Linked DNA regions of Caenorhabditis elegans. The protein of the gene in region 1 purifies or fractionates together with the protein of each later gene. This does not show direct contact. Each region holds a gene or a part of one and is shown in the gene's direction. Other genes may lie near its edges.

Region 1 (7,425 bases):
CCAACAGCGCCAACGAGGTAATATTGTAATTACTTTTCGCTAGTTTCATATACATTTTTCAGAGACAATATAATGGCAAATATCACAATACCAAGAACAAGGCGTGTGAGATGTTGTATCCAATGTGGTAACCGCCGTCCCGATGTCATAAGAAAAATCGTATCGACGGACTACGAACGCTTGCTTCTTCTTCTCTCTGCATTTCGTAATAGATTGATAACGTTGGACAATGCTAAAACTCGAAATACTATTCCAACAGCGTCATATTGTATTTCACATCTTACGGATGCATGTGATGAGATCTTCTCGATCTTCAGAGTTAGACAACCCGAAGACATTCTAGACGTAAAGGAGATCGATACGAGAGTGCTGGGAACTGCGATCACCATTGCAGGCGACAAGAGATTGCACTTTTGCCAATTCCAAGAATATTGCCGCAAGTTTACCATCAAAAATTGCCAAAAATCTTGCTCAATTTGTCAAAAAATCGATTATCGCAAAGACATGGCCAACATCCAGAAACACGCGGGGAGATTGGCAAATTGCATGAAATCTGGGACTTTGGAGGCACCGGCCACGTGGAAATATATGGAGTTGAACGGATCTAATCTGATAGTAGCTCTAGAAGCAGACACTGAAGGTTACATTTGTTTTGATCATTTTCCGACATTGAAATAATCGCGAATTGCAATAAATCGTTTAATTTATAATAATAAATCACAGAAACATGATTCTTCGTATTGTTACCTGTAACAATCACTGCATTCTTCGGATCTGATCCAAGAACTTCGACCATGTGGGCAGCATCTCCGATGCGAAGTGATGCGTGGCTGGCGAAGATCTGAAATTTTACTTTTTAGTAGATTAATTTCAATTTTTACTCACCACACAAGGAGTTTTGAATTCTTTAGAGAATGATCCGTATAGCGAATCGTAGATCTTTACTCGTCCGCTTTTGATAAGATTACTGTGACTGTACGGCTCTTCTGGCAGATATACAGCATTTTGACGGGATTCTGACATCCACTCGGCACTGATACTGGCCATTGCTATTGCGCTTTTAGCGACCGGGGAAATGAAGTAGATAGGGGTATCCAGGGGAATTCCATTCTGAAATCAATTTTTAAATTGTGAAAACCACCGGATTTCCTAATTACCGTAGTAGTGATGATGTCAGAAACCGCTTCAATCATTTCGAAAATGGGACCAACTGGACAAATTGGAAGCAGAACCGATCCATGTTTCTTCAGAACATCCGTGATAGTTTTGATAAGAGAATATCCCATTTCTTTTGCAGTTGTATCCACTAGTCTGCTCAATGAAGTGACAAGAATGTGATCAACGGCTCTAAGCGGCGCCGTCTCCATGAGCTTCACGTCTGTTGCAGAAGGATTCGAAGCACTGAGATATGCAAATTGCTCATTTTCTGTCTTGATTGTCCAGTAAGCTGAGCCATAAGTGTGTCCGGAAACTACAGGAGTCACTTTAATACGGAAGAGATCCTGGAAGTTGCAATTTTCTTAAATATATTCAAACTTCTTATTAACAACTTACAATTGTTTGATTAAAACTTAATGTGATTACTTTGGCAAGGCAACTGTGCATATCAGTTGTCGTGTAGTAGGGGCGCCACTCGACGGGATTTTGAAATGGAGGATTTGGAAATTTTCTGAAAAACGGAAAAAGGTTGAAAATTATGAAACATAATTTTTATTTTATAAACTGACCCACAAAACTCTTCTCTTTTCCATTTTTTATCACTTGGCAATACTTCAATTCGAGAAATGAACTCGAGCATTTCCTCCATCAAAAGTCTGTAAATTTTTATCTAGCAGTTGTAATATCCAATTTCTTATATCACTCACTTTCCGTACTGATACGCAATCTCCGTAACATAAATTTTCCCAGAAAATCCGGAACCCTCTGTGTAGAACGGCAAACCGACGAATGATTCATAGTTGGACACCAAAATTGCGTCGATTGTATCCATTTTTAGCATATCCGTCTGAAATGCGTCTAGTATTAAATTTAATTAATCTCCATGTTTACAAACCGATACGTGGAAAATTTCAGGTGGCGATTCGACGTAGACACGGTTTCCGAGCTCTTTCAGATACGGTATCTGAAACTTCTTGGCGATCGGAGCATTTTTGATTCGCGGGCTGAAATTTTTTGCTTTGAAAAGAAACGACGTCACTTTTCCTTGATTTACCTTTGATATACATGTGGGAGGAAGCTGAAAAATGGTGTGAAATCAATCGGAGTGTCCATAAGAATTCTGGCATTTGGCCATTCTAGCAGAAAACATGGTTTTTGTGCGTACACCGAGAAGTTTGTCTGAAATTAGTTATTTATTCCATCTGTCAAGTAGTTTTTTAATCAAAAACCTACGATATTCATTATTTTAGTCTTGTTTCAGCGCCCTTCCATTAATTTTTAGATAAATACAAAAAATAAGTTCGAATTAAATTGGATTCTGCGCTAAGTGCGGGTGCTGACGCATTACGCGATACTGTTTGCGTTATTTTCGAGATTTATTTTCGAAAGTGTCCCATTCAAGTTTCAGTCAGTTTCAGCCAAGTTTTCATTGATTTTTCTCATTTTAATCTTGAAAATGTCTTCCAAATACTCAAAAAAACGAAAACAGTTCGATGATGACACTTCTGAAGTTGGAAAAAATCGAGATTCATCAAGATCTCCATCTCCTCCACGATCGAAAAGGTAAGTGTTTTTGTTACTTTTTCTTTTTATTAATTCTGTAATTCACAGGTGAAATTGCAGATCTGCGAAACAGCGAGAGCCTGAGGATAATGGAGAACCGTAAGTATAACACGGAGAGCATTTCATTCAATAAAATAATTATTTTTCAGGGCGGATTCGATGTCAATCGAAGAAACAAACAAACTGCGCGCCTCGCTTGGTTTGGCTCCTCTTGAAACTAACGACAATAAGGAACGTGATGCTAATGATGGAACCAATGAGAAAATCTATAATGAGGATGGATTTGAGTTCAGACATCGAAAAGCTGAGAATATTTCTGATAAGAAAAAAGAAAAAGATATCAAAGAGAAGCTAGAAATCGCCAAAGCGAAACGAGATGTTTATTCAAAAGTCCTGAAAGCGAAGAAACTCGCAGATTCTGATGAAGAAGACAGTGCAGCCAGTTTTGTGAACAAAATGCGTCAGAAAGAAGATGAAGCCAAAAAGGCCGCCGATAGAGCTGCAGCTTTTGATCAACTTGACGAAGAGCTTGGTGTCAGTGCAATCGTCGATAAAGTGAAAAAGCCGAAGAAACCAAAAACCAAAGGGCCATCTGATACAGCTGGAATGGTTATTGGTCATGGGAGAGAGGCTTTTATTGAAGGTGATCAAATTTTGGTGCTTCAAGATAAGGGAGTTCTTGATGATGGAGACGAAGTTCTCGTGAATCCAAATCTGCTAGACAATGAACGTCACGTCAGAAATGTTGAATTGAGGAAACGGAAGGATCCTAATCGGAATTTTGATGAAGATGTCGACGAGTTTGGAAATGTAGGGATTTTATTTTAAAAGTTTAACTGATTCGTTATTTTTTCAGGCAAAAAACTTTGGTGTTCTTGCAAAGTACGATGAGACGTTGGAAGGAGAGCAAAAGAAACAGTTCCGACTTGACGAGCACGGTGGTGTCGATTTAGAAGAAGAAAGACGGTAGTTATTCAAAATATTTGAATGTAATATCTGATTCTTGCATTTTTCAGTGAAATGGAAGCGTTCCGTCGAATGAAAATGGCAGGAAAACGTTTGGAAAGTTTGGAGACTAAAAAATACGAGCTTGCCAGTGAATTCTACACCCAGGACGAGATGACACAATTCCGAAAAGTAAAGAAAGGCAAAAAGGAGAAGAATATTCGTAAAAGAAAGGTTCTGAAAGCCTCTGACTTGGTGCCCGTTGAAAAAGCTGGAGAAGGAAGAGATTTTGGAAGGAGAAGAAGGGATTCTGATGAACCAGAGGACGAAGGACTGAAGAAAGAGAAACAAGATGGAAAGGTAAGCGATTTTGACGAAAATTCTTTTTTCGTGTTGTTTTTCTATTTTTATGAAACAGAAAAGTTTATAAATGTTCGAAAATATGCTTTTATTTCAAAAGTATTAAAAAACAGGTTTCTTGTAGAGTTCCGCGAACGGTTAAGTTTGTTCTTTTTTTTCAATTCCTTGGAAAATTTTTTTAAAAAACATTTATGACCATTTTTTCATTTTTCAAAAGTGAAAAAAAACCAAAAAATAACTTGCGTCGAAATTGAAATCTCAATGATTTTTTTTGTGTTTTTCTTTTGTGGTATTTCGATATTTGGGACCAATCTGACTATTTTAATAAATAGGAAAATGATAAAATAGCGTTTCAGGATGAAGACGGCGAAATCAGTGACAAAGAAGTGCCAGAATCTTCATCTGACAATGGAAAATGGAAGAAGGCAATGCGAGGAAATGGAGTAGACCTTCAACGTCTTCAGAAGCTTCGTTCAAAGCATCAAATCGCTGAAGATGATGACAGTGATAACGATCTGATGTTCAGTGGAGGCGTTGATTTGACTGGAGTCGTAATTGACGACAACGCCGAAGAAGAGTTGAGCTCAATTCTGGCGAAGACTAGAAAAGTGAAGCAAATCGATGGGAAGCAGATGGATAACGATGTTGGAAAGAAAGTTCAAGATATTCTAACGAGTCATGGAGTCAAAATGGAGATTGATGAGGAGGAAGACGTTAAGCCGTTGAAAGAAGGTCAAATCTATATTGATTCTACGACAGAGTACTGTCGTCATGTTGGTGAGATCACAACTCTCGGTCTTGGAGGAAATCGTACTGTTGATGTATCGGAAGTCAAGAAAGTGAAGGAAGAAGAGATGGAACAAGAAGGAAGTGAAGGATTCGAGAAATGGAAGCGTGCTAAAGTTGATAAAGAATTGAAGGAAAAAGAGAAGAGAAAGTTGAGAGATCAAGGAGGATGGTTGGCTGCTGGAGAACCAGCTCCATCCAATGCAAGAATTGATAGTGATGATGAGGATGCATTGGAAGAGGCTAAGAAGAGGGTTGGTTTTAAAATACTCCGAATATTCGAATAGGCTAAAAATCACAAACCATCATGAAAAATCATGAAAAAAACGCTAAACATTTAAAATTCCAACTTTTAAAAACGCGGCTTCATATTGGACGAAATTAACGAGAGTTGATAATTTGCGTTTTCAAAAGTTTTTGTTTTTGGTATTTCTGCACATAGTATTTTGAAACTAAATCCGGATTTAGATTAATCCCTATTTTCCAAACTCCATATTTAATATTGCAATTAAAAATAATTTTCCAGAAGTGGTCGGAAGATGAAGAAGAGGATGAAGATATGGAAGAAGATAAGGATGATTATGCTCCAGCTCTCGGCCAGGAAGTTGATGTATCGAAGGGTGTCGGTCGAATGCTCAAACTGGCTGGACAAAAAGGATATCTTCAAAATCCGAATGCAAAATCTCATTCAGGACCTTCTCTGGATCATTTGAAAAACAAAACTACACAGCGAATCGATGGACAAAGATTGTTAGTTTTTATTTGTGAATTTAAAATTCGAAATTTTAAAATCAACTTTTTCCAGTGACCCCGATGATCGTAACGCCAAAAAAGCTGATCGTCTGAACTCTCAACACCGTGGACCAGTTATGCCATTCGCGGAGAAGCACGACTACAAGCCTGATGTTAACATAAGTTATGTAGACAGAAAAGGCCGTGAAATGGATGCCAAAGATGCGTACAGAGAGCTATCATACAAGTGAGTGTGTCTAGTGAATTTTGAAATTTACAACTTTTTTTTTTCAGGTTCCATGGTCGCAATCCGGGTAAGAAACAGTTGGAGAAACGAGCTAATCGTAAGGACAAAGAGGAGAGAATGCTCAAGGTAAAGAATATATTAAATTTGGCCTCTAGAACATTAACATTTTTACAGACAAACAGTTACGACACTCCACTGGGAACTCTTGATAAGCAGCGCAAAAAGCAAAAACAATTATCCACACCGTATCTTGTGCTCAGTGGATCTAGTGATCAGTGAGTTTTAAATTATTCTGATATTTAACAAATAATGAAAAATATTATTTCAGTTCGAGTCTCAAGAAGGAGTAACAAATGGACATTGTTTTGAATTTCCTGTATTCAATTTTATAATTCTATTGCTGTTATGCAAACAGTCATTTCATTTTCATTGAAGTTTCAGATAATTAAATTATTGTAATTTTCATTCTTTTTTCGCGAATATATCTACATTTTCTTCATTTGACTTTCTGATTTCTCCGAATTTCCTCTTTTGGAAGTACTCCAAAAATCGTACAAGAAGTTACAATAGTATTAGGGGGACACACAATTCTGAAAATTCGTATTGCGCAACATAAATATCTCGTAGCGAAAACTACAGAAACTCTTAAAAGAAAAGACTACTACAGCGCTTTTGTCGATTTACGGAAATTATGTATTTAACACAAAACAGTACGAAAAAACTCAAGAAAATTTAATACCACTGTCACAATTCGCACAGAAAGTCGATCCCGTAAATCGACACCAGCGCTACAGTAGTTTCATTTAATTTAAGAGTTACTGTAGTTTTCGCTACGAGATATTTTGTGCGTCAACTGTGTTGTGCAATAGTCATTTTCACAACTTAATGTTCCCGTAATAAATAACCAAAGCCCAATAACAAAAGTTCAAGAAACGTTTACATCCATCAATCAAACTTTATTGGGCAGGAGGTGTAGGTAGCATAATAATAATTATTTAGCTTTTGAATATATTTTTTATATTTTCAAAACGATGTTGAAATCTAAAACCGTCGCATTTTTTCTTCGAGCATTCATTTATTTCAGCGTAAGTTTCATTGCAATATGTTTGAACTATTTTGAGTTGCATATATAAGTAGGTACAAAATGTATTGCATGATGCCTACAAGCGTTCTTACTTCAAAAATACGGGGTTGTGAGTTGGGAGCATGTTGCTCATAAGGCAAACGCATAGGCAGATAGGCATAATGCGAACCAAACACCTGAGTTTGCGCCTATATCATGAAAACAAAATGTAGGCGTCTTTAGGCAGGCACCTAGGTATGCAGACATTTTGTCTTAGCAGTTTCAAATTCCAGAATTCTCAAATTCATATAGTTGTCTTCAATGGTGTAATGGATGTACATCGGGGAATACTACTCCAGAAACGAAATTGCACAGAGACGAAACCAAAAAATGTCGATTTCTTGAATTGTGTCATAAATTGTGGCCTTGACATTCATTGTCAGGTATCTTCACAGAGACCTACATACTCCTCAATAAATCGTATGATTTTAATCCCAGATTTGTTTCGAAACTAACTATGGGTCATGTGCTCATTGTGCTTCAGACGCAGTCGTTTTTGTGGAGCCCAAAG
Region 2 (7,981 bases), on another chromosome or scaffold:
TTTTTGCAGAAAGATCAGAATCAGTACGTGCCATTGCAGATAAATCGGCTTCGTCGAGGTTGCCATGTGCATCAAACAAAAATATCTCGAAAAATACAACTTTTCGAGATTGATAACTGAATGAATTATCGAAGCAGACTTGATAATCTCCTGGTTGATTCAGTTCAATTCGATGGGATCCGTCGACTTTCAGCTGGTCCTGCTTCAGAATGTTCGCCCCGTGAAGTATCATGAAATTGATATTTAAGTCACCACCGTCGATTACCTGAAATCAAGATTTAAAATGCAGCAAATGGTTTAGAATTATAAAATACCTGATAATCAACTTCGAGGGTTTTGTGTTTTGCAAGATCCACAGGTTGAAAAAAGCACTGGAATTTTCCGGCAGGAACTTCGACTGTAAAATCGTACTCTCCACATAGAATAAATGGAGTGATGAGAAGAATTACAGTGATTATATTGGTGAATTCACCCATTGCTGAAATTAATTGATTTTAAGAGAAAGCCAACAAATTGACGATGCATTTTTGTAGTAAAGCTATTGAAAACGAGGCAATAACATATTTTCAAGACAATAATTTCAGAATTACAGCTTCGGAAAATTGTTTAATGCAATTATTTAATTCATTTATATCTTTAATTTTATAATAAATAAGATAAAAACAAAAAATTAACGAAAAACTCGCATAGTTTACGTGTAAATCTTCAGAGTTTGTCTGTGTCCAATAGAGCGCGATTACACCTATTTTTTTTCAAATCAGAATTTTTCTTTCACTGGCGTGATGGAAAGATAAATTACGATTAAAAACGTTCAATAGGTATAAATTTAATTTTTAGTATGTTTTGAAGTTATTTTCATAAGCTTTTAACGCAGAAAACACGACACCAAATAATTTCTGGGCCTGCTTTACAGGAACATTTTCAAAAATAACTCTTGGGTCTTGAAATGCTTACAGTAGTCTTCAGATTTCTTTTTTCCAGTTTTCATTTGTTTTGCGCATGCGTTTTTTGCGATAAATTGTTTAATTTCCTTCACAAATACATTATTTTTACATCCTTATACGTAGAAAACGACGGTATTTCAATTTAGGTAAAAATTTTCAGAGTTTACTGTGTGAAACATCTGAAAATTGATGCCACATGAAATCCTGAGTATCTTCTGTTCACAATTTATTGGTTTTAAACTTAAATATTGGTTTTGATCAGATTTTTTTCTAATTATTTCGAAATTCGGTTAGCCAACGATAGTGAGTAAATATTGTCAATTTCCACAATTTTCCTTTCGTCCATTTTTCTTCAAATTGATTTGATTATTGATTATTTTTCTTATAATTTTCTTGAATTTAAATTCCCCAGTCTATAGAAATTAATTTTAAACTAGTTCTCATTTTGTGTTTCCATAGAGCGCATTTACACTCTTCTCATGCACTTTTCCCCGCCTCGTGCCTGCCTCTCCCATCGCTCGCTCTCTCCAGCCATTCTCATTTCCACATTTACTTTTCACCCAACGATTTCATTTTCGAAAATGTTTTCTGTATAAAATGCATCCGATTTTTACAGTTTAGCTTTCGTTTTTCGTAATGGAAATATAGTAGTTTCGGTTTCATCGATTACTGCTTCATTCTGTACTCTCCCATAATTTTAAAACAAAAGCCGAATTCTTAGATTAAAACATCTACTTATTCCTCCACTATTATCTTTTCTCATCTCGATAAATTAAAATAAGAATTTTTACGTATCATTTTCACTTGTTACATTATCGATTTTTCGAAAATTTCAGCTTTTCAGAGATGCCTCGCTCAGACGGATTTTCTCCGCGCAAAAATTTGCGGAGATCTGCTCGAGATCACTCGCGTTCGTATGCGGGTCAGTGCAACGAGGATTTTGATGACATGTACGCACCATCAAGCAGAAGAGTGAGTTAATTCAAAACATATACATTTTTAAATTGACTATTTACAGAGAAGCAGCGGTGGTGTAGATGGAAATGGGTACACACGTTCCGGACGGAAAATTAATCACAATCGTTATTACGAAGAGGAATATCATGAGGCAATTAGCAGCGAGGAAGATGAAAGACGATATCGAACTCGAAGGTTTTTTGATAATTTTGACAAAAAATATTATAATTGTTAAAATTTAGAAGCTCGAATTCGATGACATACAGACAACAAGTAATGCAGGCGATAGATGAATCCAAGCGAAATCAAAAAGTGCCGCCTGCAAAACGAAAGCGGATATATTTGTCTGACGAGGAAGAGGAAGATTTTGCTGAAGCGGCGCACGTTGAGAACACAGTCCCCGAGCGTGCAACTCGACGTAGCACCAGAAGACGTTCATCAATGCACGAAGAACTTGGAGGTACACGAATCGCATAATTTCAAAAATATAAGCGAATTTCAGTTTCAGAACAGGAAGAGTCGCCGGTTCGCAGGACTCGCAAAGCCGCCAAGCGCCTTGGAAGTGAGCAACCAGAGGAAAATCTAGCAGCAGATGATCCGTTGCCAATGGAAGGAGGTGGCGAGATTGTGCTACCAATTGCTGAAATTGATGGAATGGCTGAACAAGAAAATGAGGACTTGATTGAGAAAATTGGAAGGGAAGAAGAGGAGGAAGGCGCTGAAGAAGATGAGCAAAGCGGTGAAAAAGATCCAGAAGAAGAAGAGGATGATAGCAGCAATGCAGAAAGTTCAGAGGAATCAACTGCTCCACGTCAATACAGTCTTCGCCGCCGTCAACCAGTTGTCCAGTTCAATGCATCAGAAGCTCGTGAAAATCGACGGGCTCGTCTTGAACATCATCGGGTTGCAAATCAAAACAGACATCACCGCAATCGAAATGGATCTCGTCGAAGACGAAGCGATTCGGATTCTGATAGTGATGATATGGTGCTTCCGAGACCTGATAAACGTCAATCGAGGCCTCATATGCATAACCGTGGAGAACGTGAACGTGGTCGATTTATGCCGATCAATATGACCGAAAAAGAATTGCAGTCTGCCCAACACATTCTGATGGATCGAATGAGAAAAACTGATGCTGGTCAAGGTGCAAGTGACATTGATCCAATGAGTGTTGATTCGTCGGTTGGTTTCGATCAAGTTGGAGGACTCGGTCATCATATTCAATCTCTCAAAGAAGTTGTCCTTTTCCCAATGCTTTATCCTGAAGTATTTGAAAAGTTCAGAATAAATCCGCCAAAAGGTGTCGTATTCTATGGGCCCCCAGGAACCGGAAAAACTCTTGTTGCACGTGCTCTTGCGAATGAATGCCGAAGAGGAGCCAACAAAGTTGCATTCTTTATGCGAAAAGGAGCTGATTGTTTGAGTAAATGGGTCGGAGAGTCTGAAAGACAACTTCGACTATTGTTTGATCAAGCATATGCCATGCGTCCATCAATTATCTTTTTTGATGAAATCGATGGTTTAGCTCCAGTTCGTTCTTCGAAACAAGATCAAATTCATGCGAGCATAGTGAGTACATTGTTAGCACTGATGGACGGATTAGATGGTCGAGGAGAAGTTGTTGTAATTGGAGCTACAAATCGATTAGATACTCTTGATCCAGCTCTACGAAGACCAGGACGTTTTGATAGGGAACTCCGTTTTTCCCTTCCTGATTTGAATGCCCGACGACAAATTTTAGATATTCACACTTCCAAATGGGAGGAAAACAAACCGATTCCGGAAACACTCGATGCTATTGCAGAGAGAACTAGTGGATATTGCGGTGCCGATTTGAAATTCTTGTGCACAGAAGCAGTTCTTATTGGATTGAGATCTCGATATCCTCATATCTACATGTGTTCTGAAAGGCTGAAACTCGACGTTGCCACCATTAAAATCACTTCTGAGCATTTTGGACATGCAATGCGGAGGATCACACCTGCTTCCAGACGAGATCTTACAATTCCATCGAGACCATTGGATGAACGAACTTCAATTTTACTTGGAGATACTGTGAGCAACTTGATTTCGTTGAGAATTCCACAAGGATATCGATGCGTGGAAAATGCAATGGCGACAGCTTCAAGCGAACTGGAACAAGTTGTTAGGGCATTGGAACCTAATCCAACCGTGCCTGCTATTCGTCTTCTTCTATGTGGATCTGAGCAACTCGCGGACGGTGGACAAACGTCTTACGTTCTTCCCGCCATTCTAGCAAAACTGGATCATCTACCGGTGTTCTCTCTTTCTGTTTCAAGTCTTTTAACAGATGGACGTCCAGAAGAAGCATTTTCAAATGCAATTCAGTCGGCAATGCGTGCATCAGCAACCGGCCCATGTATCATGCTTCTTCCATCAATCGATGAATGGATTAAAGTCATTCCTGTATCAGTTCAACATATGCTTATCACATGTCTGGAATCAATGACTGGTTTCACGCCGATTCTTTTCCTATCGACGCTTGACACTTCGTTTGAAGATGCGCCTGAATATGTCACGGAAATTTTCAGACATGCAAACTGTATCACGTGAGTATAACTAGAAATGTGTTTTCAGAACATTTTTAAAATATAATAATTTTCAGTTTGAATCCTTCCCGCCGAACAATTCGTCAAAAATATTTCGAGCACGTTATTGAGAAGATTAACACTCCACCAAAAGTATTTGATCGTAAGTCTCAACGAAATACAATTTTTTAAAAATTTTAAATCCTTTGTCCATATTTCAGCAACAGTCTATGAGATGCCTCTACCAGATGACGATTCTCCCGATTCGAAGCCTTCTAGAAAGCTCAATGATGACGAGACAAGAGAACTTTTGAAGATGTACACTGCTTTGCAGCGACAAATGAGATTATTCTTCAAAGAGAGGCTCAGTGAGTTTTAATATTCCGCATGCTCAACCTCATTGAATATTTTCAGCACGTCTTATGCGAGATCGTCGATTCGTTGAATTTGTCGAGCCCGTGGATCCGGATGAGGCTGAGGACTATTATGAGATTATCGAAACACCGATTTGTATGCAGGATATTATGGAAAAGCTGAATAATTGCGAATATAATCATGCGGACAAATTTGTTGCTGACTTGATATTGATTCAAACGAATGCTCTCGAATATAATCCGTCGACAACAAAAGACGGAAAACTGATTCGTCAAATGGCAAATACACTTCGAGATGCAATTGATGATCTGATCGAGTGTGAACTTGACGAATCGTTTGTCGAACGAATTGAAACAGTTTCACGAATGCTACAAGACGCTGGAGTAACTCCAACCTCTGATAAATTACTCACAGAAATTCCCAAAGGTTTTGCCCGAAAAAAGGCGTGGTCTATGACCAATTCACTTGCAAAAGAAATTGAGCAATGGACATCAGAGCGTGAAGCTGAAAATCAAAAAATGTTGAGCAAGCTTGGTGTAGCTGCTCCAACATTGGAACTCGTTGTTGTCCCTGTAGAAGATATGAAAAGTGAAGAAGGAACGAGCACATCAACTGATGGAGTTCCAGCTTCTGCTGGAAATAAAAAGAAATTGCTCAAAAAGAAGAAGGGTCAAAAGAAAAGCAAAACCGGCGAATCTGAAGAGCACGATGAAGATAGTACAGTTGAAGACGCAGGAGAAGATACAATTGTAGAAAATCTTGAAATCAAGAAAAATCAGGAAACTCCAAACAGTGAACATGATATCGAGATGAAAGATGCTTCTAAAGATTCTACACCTTCCGTGCAAATTTCGATTGCTGAGAAAGAATTGATAGTTTCGAAGCCAGCAACATGCGAGCTGATTCAGTGTTGTGTCGAAAAGTCGGAGGGTTGGTCAGTCAGCGAGTTGGAACGTTTGTCTTCTGTTCTATCACATACAATTGAACGATTCCGGTGAGTTATATGATTTTTTATTACCTCGCTGTTCTTTTTGTTTGAACTAAAAGGAAATGTTAAGGATTTTTGGAACGTTTTAAAACATAGAAAACATTTATTATGAAGGTTGTTTATATTTTTGAAAATTTCAAAAATTGATAATTTCGTTATTTTGAAAAAAAATTGAAATTTTCAATAATTTCCGGTTAATTGAAAAAATTTCAATTCAATTGAAAAAATGCTCGTAATTTTCTGTACATTTCTTCGGCTTTTCCGTGATTTTCCTATTTTGATATTTTCGATATTCTCTGAAAAATCCCGAAAAAATTGTAGTCACAATGTAGAATAAAATAAACAATATTTATTTTTAACAATTAAATATTATTCAGGGACGAATGGAACCGCGAAAATCTACCAGCCCAACTTACCCAAATTGTACGTGAATGGCAAACAGCTGACGATTCGAACAATACAATTGTTAATGGAACCCTCAACAAATCGAATGGAAATCTTGCCAATGGACACTAAATGATGTCCCATCCTCCTCTTCCAATCTACCTCCGTTTATCGATTTTATAATTTCAAACTGAAATCCGTTTTATCATAATTTCCACCAGTTTTCCTCTTGTCAAAAACCCCTTTGTGCGAAAGAAAACTTTCAAAATAAGTGCGGCTACCGTGATACTCACCTATTTTTCTTTGTCCATTTTTATTCAAATTAAATCTCTACCATAATTAATTCCCCTCCAATTTATTCGAGTGAGCATTGCCTGCCTCTCGGGTGTATTCACGTGCCCTTCTATTATTTCATTAATCTTTTCCATTATCTTTAACCTGGTCTTTCGAAAATGAGTAAATTGTGAATCATTCGATGTTTAATGCTAATACCTATTTTTGTTTTAATGATCCGTTTAACTTCGGATATTTATATATTTTCGATTTTATTTTAAATTTATAATATATTCAATCATCTAAACTTTTTCTTTCAGATGGACTTTCAGAACAGAGCTGGAGGAAAAACGGGAAGCGGAGGAGTGGCTTCGGCCGCCGATGCTGGTGTTGATCGACGGGAACGGCTCCGCCAGTTGGCTCTAGAGACAATTGATCTTCAAAAGGATCCGTATTTCATGCGAAATCACATTGGAACGTACGAATGCAAGCTGTGTCTTACTCTTCACAACAATGAAGGATCTTATTTGGCACATACACAAGGAAAGAAGCATCAAGCGAATCTTGCACGGCGTGCCGCTAAAGAACAATCTGAACAACCATTTCTACCAGCTCCACAGAAAGCTGCAGTTGAAACTAAAAAGTTTGTGAAAATCGGACGTCCTGGATACAAGGTAACAAAAGAACGTGATCCAGGAGCTGGCCAGCAAGCACTTCTCTTCCAAATTGATTATCCGGAGATTGCTGACGGTATTGCGCCACGTCATCGATTTATGTCTGCTTATGAGCAAAAGATTCAGCCTCCAGACAAGAGATGGCAATACCTCTTGTTTGCTGCTGAGCCGTATGAAACGATTGGATTCAAAATTCCATCAAGGTGAGGCTTTACAACATTTTAGCACTTTTCTATCTCATAGTTACGATTAAAAAAATTGTATATACCAAGTAATTTTTTCCAGAGAAGTTGACAAATCTGAAAAATTTTGGACGATGTGGAACAAAGACACGAAGCAATTCTTCTTACAAGTCGCATTCAAATTGGAACGACTCGATGATCAGCCGTACTATTGATACTCTATGTTTTTATCTTTTTGATTTCAAAATTCAAAACAATTTTTTCGTGTTTTTCGATGATCTAACAATAAATTATTTTCCTTTTTTTTAATGATGATATTTTATTTAAATCAAGTATAGGTTGACTGATCCGTCTACAATGTCTATTCAATTAAAATTATAGTTTTCATAGTTTAAAAAATCAGTTTCAGATGGCGAAGAAGGTTGTCAAAAGAAAAGCTGAAGCAGTGTCCGCTGACGCAGAAGCCGTTGCAGAAGCTCCGAAGAAAATCAAGAAGCAGAAACCAAGTCTTCCAGTCTCTGAACCTGATAATTATCAGGCTGGTGGATTATCAAGTCTCTTCGGAAAGTCGTCAGAAGGAGCAGCAGTACAAGAGGAAGTTGTGAAGGGAGATAAAGTAATTGAAAAACCTAAAAGAAGAAAGTATGATCCA
Region 3 (5,617 bases), on another chromosome or scaffold:
CACAATCGGTGAATAGCTCATCTTCCCACATACTTCGATTATTTGCGCGTACAATTACTTCAGGCATTTCTTCTTGCTCCTCTGTGCTAACATCTTCGTCCACAACTGGCTCAACTGATATTTTTGATCCAGGAGGGAAGTATTCAACTTCACAAATCAAAAAGAGAGTTCCGTCAGATCGAAGTGCCCCAAGCATCTTATCACGCGAAACTTGGAACTTTCCACGCCCTTGTTGGTTTGTGAAATCTTTGGTATCTCTGCATACACTGACTCTTTGATTATTAGCATCGAGAGCATAAATTTGAAATTCTGTCATGATGGGCTCCTCTCCTCTCTGAAAAAGGTTTTTATATTTTATATATAGAAAATATGAATGAAACTTACGGCTAATCCAACTTGTCTCAAGAAAAACGATACATTATTCACATCTTCATCACGCTTTCCATTTGGATACACATGAAGTTCCCAGCAAACTGTTGGCGCATCAGGGACACTAAACATTCTTGAAATAAGATTCGAACCGTTTTTGATTAGTTTCATCAATTTCTCAAATTGTTCGATTTTCCATTCCAATTTTGTAGAAAGTGCCGTCACACGCGTTGCTTGCTTCGAAACTACTTCTAGACGGCGAGGTTGTGGAGGAAGATCGTCAGCTGAAAATGAAAATAATGTTAAACTCTCAAATTAATTGAGCTATTCTCACTAACCTCTGGAACTGATTGTGCGATTAATCTGCTCCGTGGATGACCACGAGGAACGTGAAGACATATTATATTGCGAATAAGTTTTACCTCTGTTGATAAGTTGAGCGAGCAAGAGGTTATTCTGAAAATAAATTCAATTAAAAGAAAGCTATTCCCGATAATCTCGATAAAAATAAAAGAAAATGATTAAATTCAAAAAGACACAACAACTGGGAAACTCCGCGAATGAATTATTTACGAAAAGCAGGAGTTCTTTGTTAGAGTTACGAAATAAGCAATACGATTTTCGAAACCGATCTACGAAAAATTACACATATTAGAAAAGTATTAAAATTACGAAATCGCCGTTTGATATTCGAAAATACTACCTTTTTTTTAAGTTGGACAGTTTTTAAAGTTTTCAAAAGGAGATCTTCATGAACTCGTCTATGAGGAATAAATGTGGTACATTTCAATATAAAATGGGTAACAATGACAGTTTGGAAATAATTTCCTTTTCGAAAAATTGATATTTGTACAAAATTCGGAACAGTTTCGAAAAAATGATATTACCCCAGTCACATGACTTGAAAAAGGAAAAGTTGCAATTCAGAAGCTTTACTCAGATTCTGAGGGCAATAGAAAATGCCAATAAGTTTTCGAAAAATCAATAAATTTTTTCGGGCAGATGTCTTTCCTCGGCGGCGGCGAACGCGAACGCAAATAATGGCTGCCAAGAAGAGGCGGGTCTATTGATCGAAACATTACGCCGAAGAGTGTTTGAATTACCGGGCACCGTAACCTCAAACACCTGCAGATCTAAGTACGACGCTCCACTCGACACAATTGCGCGCGTTGTTTAGATTTAAGGAAATTTAAATTTTACTTTCGAAAATAGAAATTATCGGTTTTTATTCATGATTTTCTGGTTCAGTCTGAATAAATTCCGTTTTTTAATGTAAATTTTGTGCGCTATTAACTGTAATGCACAATTCCAACTATCAATTCATGTGATCTTACAGTCTAAACAAAGACAAATCTCTCTTTCCAGTTTCTCTACAGTAATACTTATTTTTCCTTGCTCGTCAACTCATTGATTAGTTTTAATTCTATTTTTATATAGTGTGTTATAGGTATGGCCAACTACGGCGGTCATCCCCAAACTGAACCACATGCTATCCCGGATTCAATTCTGGAAGAAAAGTCTCGAAAATGGAAACAACTTCAAGGAAAGCGGTATTCGGAGAAAAAGAAGTTTGGAATGTCCGATACGCAGAAAGAAGAAATGCCACCTGAGCACGTCCGAAAAGTTATCAGAGATCATGGTGATATGACTTCTCGCAAATATCGTCATGATAAAAGAGTCTACCTCGGTGCTTTGAAATATATGCCACATGCCGTTTTGAAGCTACTGGAGAACATGCCGATGCCCTGGGAACAAATCAGAGATGTAAAAGTTCTGTATCACATCACCGGTGCGATCACTTTTGTCAACGACATTCCGCGTGTCATCGAGCCGGTCTACATGGCACAATGGGGAACGATGTGGATTATGATGAGAAGAGAAAAACGTGATCGTCGTCATTTCAAGCGAATGAGATTCCCTCCATTTGACGATGAAGAACCGCCTCTCGATTATGCTGATAATATTCTGGATGTCGAGCCTTTAGAGCCAATTCAAATGGAACTAGATCCAGAAGAAGACGGAGCTGTTGCTGAATGGTTCTACGATCACAAGCCTCTTGCAACAACTCGATTTGTGAACGGCCCAACGTACAGAAAATGGGCATTCAGTATTCCACAGATGTCCACATTGTATCGTCTTGCAAATCAGCTGCTTACCGATTTAGTAGATGATAACTACTTCTACTTGTTTGACATGAAAAGTTTCTTCACTGCTAAAGCACTCAACGTTGCAATTCCAGGAGGCCCGAAGTTCGAACCATTGGTAAAAGATTTACATACGTAAGTGAAAAGCTTCCAGTTGTGTTATGACGCATACTATTTTATTATTTTCAGTGATGAAGACTGGAACGAGTTCAATGATATCAATAAAGTTATTATTCGAGCTCCAATTCGTACCGAGTACAGAATTGCATTCCCATTCATGTACAACAATCTGATCAGCTCGCTGCCTGTTCAAGTTTCATGGTATCATACTCCTTCAGTTGTATTTATCAAAACTGAAGACCCAGATCTTCCCGCATTCTACTATGATCCATTGATCAATCCAATCGTTCTCAGCAACTTGAAAGCAGTGAGTTATTTACAAGTTTCAGCAATGTTTTAAAATAAAATGCGGATATTATAAACAGATTCCTATAAATTTACAAGGTAGTCAGTAGCCGAAATTCGCAATATAAATTTTCCATTAAAGGCGAGAAATCATCCTTTTTGTCGGTGATATCTAGAAATAAAACTGGAGACAATTCGTATTGTATGTCAAAACATTTTCAGACTGAAGAAAATCTACCAGAAGGTGAAGAGGAAGACGAGTGGGAGCTGCCTGAAGATGTTCGACCCATTTTTGAAGACGTTCCACTCTACACCGATAACACGGCTAATGGTTTAGCACTTCTATGGGCCCCTCGGCCATTCAATCTTCGATCGGGAAGAACGAGAAGAGCAGTGGATGTACCACTTGTCAAATCGTGGTATAGAGAACATTGTCCAGCAGGTTAGTTTTGTTTCTATTTTTTTCGTTTCGTTTCTCGCATACTAAGCTGAAATAATATATTCAATTTTTCAGGAATGCCCGTGAAAGTTCGTGTTTCTTATCAGAAACTGCTCAAGGTGTTTGTTCTGAACGCTCTCAAACATCGTCCACCGAAGCCCCAGAAGCGTCGTTATCTGTTCCGTTCCTTCAAGGCAACAAAATTCTTCCAAACAACCACCCTGGATTGGGTAGAAGCTGGATTGCAAGTTCTTCGTCAAGGATACAACATGCTCAATTTGCTCATTCACCGAAAGAATCTCAACTATCTTCATCTTGATTACAACTTCAATTTGAAACCAGTTAAAACATTGACAACAAAGGAAAGAAAGAAATCTCGTTTCGGAAATGCATTCCATTTGTGCAGAGAAATCCTTCGTCTCACAAAACTTGTTGTTGATGCCCATGTTCAGTATCGTTTGAACAACGTCGATGCGTACCAACTTGCAGATGGTCTACAATATATCTTTGCTCACGTCGGTCAACTGACCGGAATGTATCGTTACAAGTACAAGCTCATGAGACAAGTCAGAATGTGCAAGGATCTCAAGCATCTCATCTACTATCGTTTCAACACTGGGCCGGTTGGTAAAGGACCTGGATGTGGTTTTTGGGCTCCGGGATGGAGAGTTTGGTTGTTCTTCTTGCGTGGAATCACACCACTGCTCGAGAGATGGCTTGGAAATCTGTTGTCTCGACAATTCGAAGGAAGACATTCAAAGGGAGTGGCCAAGACAGTCACCAAGCAAAGAGTTGAATCTCATTTCGATCTTGAATTACGGTAAGCTTTAAATGGCAAGAAAACGAATTTATTTATTAATATTTTCAGTGCTGCTGTCATGCATGACATTCTGGATATGATGCCGGACGGAATCAAACAAAATAAGGCTCGTGTTATTCTTCAGCATTTGTCAGAGGCGTGGAGATGTTGGAAGGCTAATATTCCATGGAAGGTTCCCGGACTGCCAACTCCAGTTGAAAATATGATTCTACGTTATGTGAAAGCAAAGGCTGATTGGTGGACTAATTCGGCACATTACAACAGAGAACGTGTAAGACGAGGAGCGACAGTAGACAAAACTGTGTGCAAGAAGAACTTGGGTAGATTGACAAGATTATACCTGAAATCAGAGCAAGAAAGACAACACAATTACTTGAAGGACGGACCATATATCTCTGCAGAAGAAGCTGTTGCAATTTACACGACTACAGTACATTGGCTGGAATCAAGAAGATTTTCTCCGATTCCTTTCCCACCACTTTCTTACAAACACGACACAAAACTTCTTATTTTGGCTCTTGAAAGACTGAAGGAAAGTTACAGTGTGAAGAATAGATTGAATCAATCCCAAAGAGAAGAACTGGCTTTAATTGAACAGGCTTATGATAATCCTCACGAAGCTTTGTCTCGTATCAAGAGACACATGCTCACGCAGCGTGCATTCAAAGAAGTCGGAATTGAGTTTATGGATCTCTACACTCATCTTATTCCAGTCTACGATATCGAGCCTCTTGAGAAAGTCACTGACGCTTACCTCGATCAATACCTCTGGTATGAAGCAGACAAGAGAAGATTGTTCCCGGCATGGGTGAAACCAGGAGATACTGAACCACCACCGCTTCTTACATACAAATGGTGTCAAGGTCTCAACAATCTTCAAGATGTTTGGGAGACAAGTGAAGGAGAGTGTAATGTCATCATGGAAACAAAATTGGAGAAAATTGCTGAAAAAATGGATTTGACACTTCTCAATAGATTGCTCAGATTGATTGTGGATCACAATATTGCCGATTACATGACTTCGAAGAACAACGTTCTCATCAACTATAAGGATATGAACCACACCAATTCTTTCGGAATTATTCGTGGTCTACAATTTGCTTCGTTTATTGTTCAATTCTATGGATTAGTTCTTGATCTTCTTGTTCTTGGACTTCGACGAGCTTCCGAAATTGCCGGTCCGCCCCAATGTCCAAACGAGTTCTTGCAATTCCAGGATGTTGCCACAGAAATTGGTCACCCTATTCGTCTCTACTGCCGGTACATCGACCGAGTTTGGATCATGTTCCGTTTCAGTGCTGATGAAGCACGTGATTTGATTCAAAGATACTTGACAGAGCATCCAGATCCGAATAATGAGAATATTGTCGGTTATAACAACAAAAAGTGTTGGCCAAGAGACGCTAGAATGAGATTGATGAAACATGATGTCAATTTGGG

The links. The genes of interacting proteins can lie anywhere in the genome.
Region 2: the proteins of snu-66 (region 1) and lex-1 fractionate together in Caenorhabditis elegans (co-fractionation; one large-scale study listed by BioGRID). This does not show direct contact.
Region 3: the proteins of snu-66 (region 1) and prp-8 fractionate together in Caenorhabditis elegans (co-fractionation; one large-scale study listed by BioGRID). This does not show direct contact.

What each region holds. Positions count from the first base shown.
Region 1 is NC_003283.11:7,570,814-7,578,238, reverse strand, and holds snu-66 (SNU66/SART1 family protein), read left to right. Parts: upstream 1-2,568; 5' UTR 2,569-2,614; coding exon 2,615-2,721; intron 2,722-2,781; coding exon 2,782-2,820; intron 2,821-2,870; coding exon 2,871-3,531; intron 3,532-3,577; coding exon 3,578-3,687; intron 3,688-3,737; coding exon 3,738-4,026; intron 4,027-4,382; coding exon 4,383-5,066; intron 5,067-5,338; coding exon 5,339-5,562; intron 5,563-5,617; coding exon 5,618-5,791; intron 5,792-5,838; coding exon 5,839-5,917; intron 5,918-5,965; coding exon 5,966-6,066; intron 6,067-6,119; coding exon 6,120-6,141; 3' UTR 6,142-6,289; downstream 6,290-7,425. Other genes in the region: ets-6 (Lin-15A/B-like domain-containing protein), read left to right, coding at 1-17, 63-678; ints-9 (Beta-Casp domain-containing protein), read right to left, coding at 748-841, 886-1,110, 1,158-1,502, 1,555-1,669, 1,728-1,814, 1,866-2,005, 2,054-2,162, 2,213-2,337 and 1 more; F19F10.14 (DUF2769 domain-containing protein), read left to right, coding at 7,184-7,297, 7,353-7,425.
Region 2 is NC_003282.8:12,077,685-12,085,665, forward strand, and holds lex-1 (Tat-binding homolog 7), read left to right. Parts: upstream 1-1,788; 5' UTR 1,789-1,790; coding exon 1,791-1,916; intron 1,917-1,962; coding exon 1,963-2,096; intron 2,097-2,143; coding exon 2,144-2,361; intron 2,362-2,403; coding exon 2,404-4,474; intron 4,475-4,530; coding exon 4,531-4,616; intron 4,617-4,674; coding exon 4,675-4,821; intron 4,822-4,867; coding exon 4,868-5,822; intron 5,823-6,193; coding exon 6,194-6,332; 3' UTR 6,333-6,678; downstream 6,679-7,981. Other genes in the region: tmed-1 (GOLD domain-containing protein), read right to left, coding at 1-265, 315-476; repo-1 (Splicing factor 3A subunit 2), read left to right, coding at 6,794-7,350, 7,433-7,544; rbm-34 (RRM domain-containing protein), read left to right, coding at 7,739-7,981. UniProt on the Caenorhabditis elegans protein: Thought to form a complex that enhances transcription from repetitive DNA sequences by modulating chromatin structure.
Region 3 is NC_003281.10:8,162,559-8,168,175, forward strand, and holds the start of prp-8 (Pre-mRNA-splicing factor 8 homolog), read left to right. Parts: upstream 1-1,814; 5' UTR 1,815-1,818; coding exon 1,819-2,648; intron 2,649-2,702; coding exon 2,703-2,940; intron 2,941-2,981; exon of another isoform or gene 2,982-3,114; intron 3,115-3,140; coding exon 3,141-3,360; intron 3,361-3,432; coding exon 3,433-4,177; intron 4,178-4,225; coding exon 4,226-5,617. Other genes in the region: bath-42 (BTB and MATH domain-containing protein 42), read right to left, coding at 1-334, 385-653, 708-768. UniProt on the Caenorhabditis elegans protein: Functions as a scaffold that mediates the ordered assembly of spliceosomal proteins and snRNAs. Required for the assembly of the U4/U6-U5 tri-snRNP complex.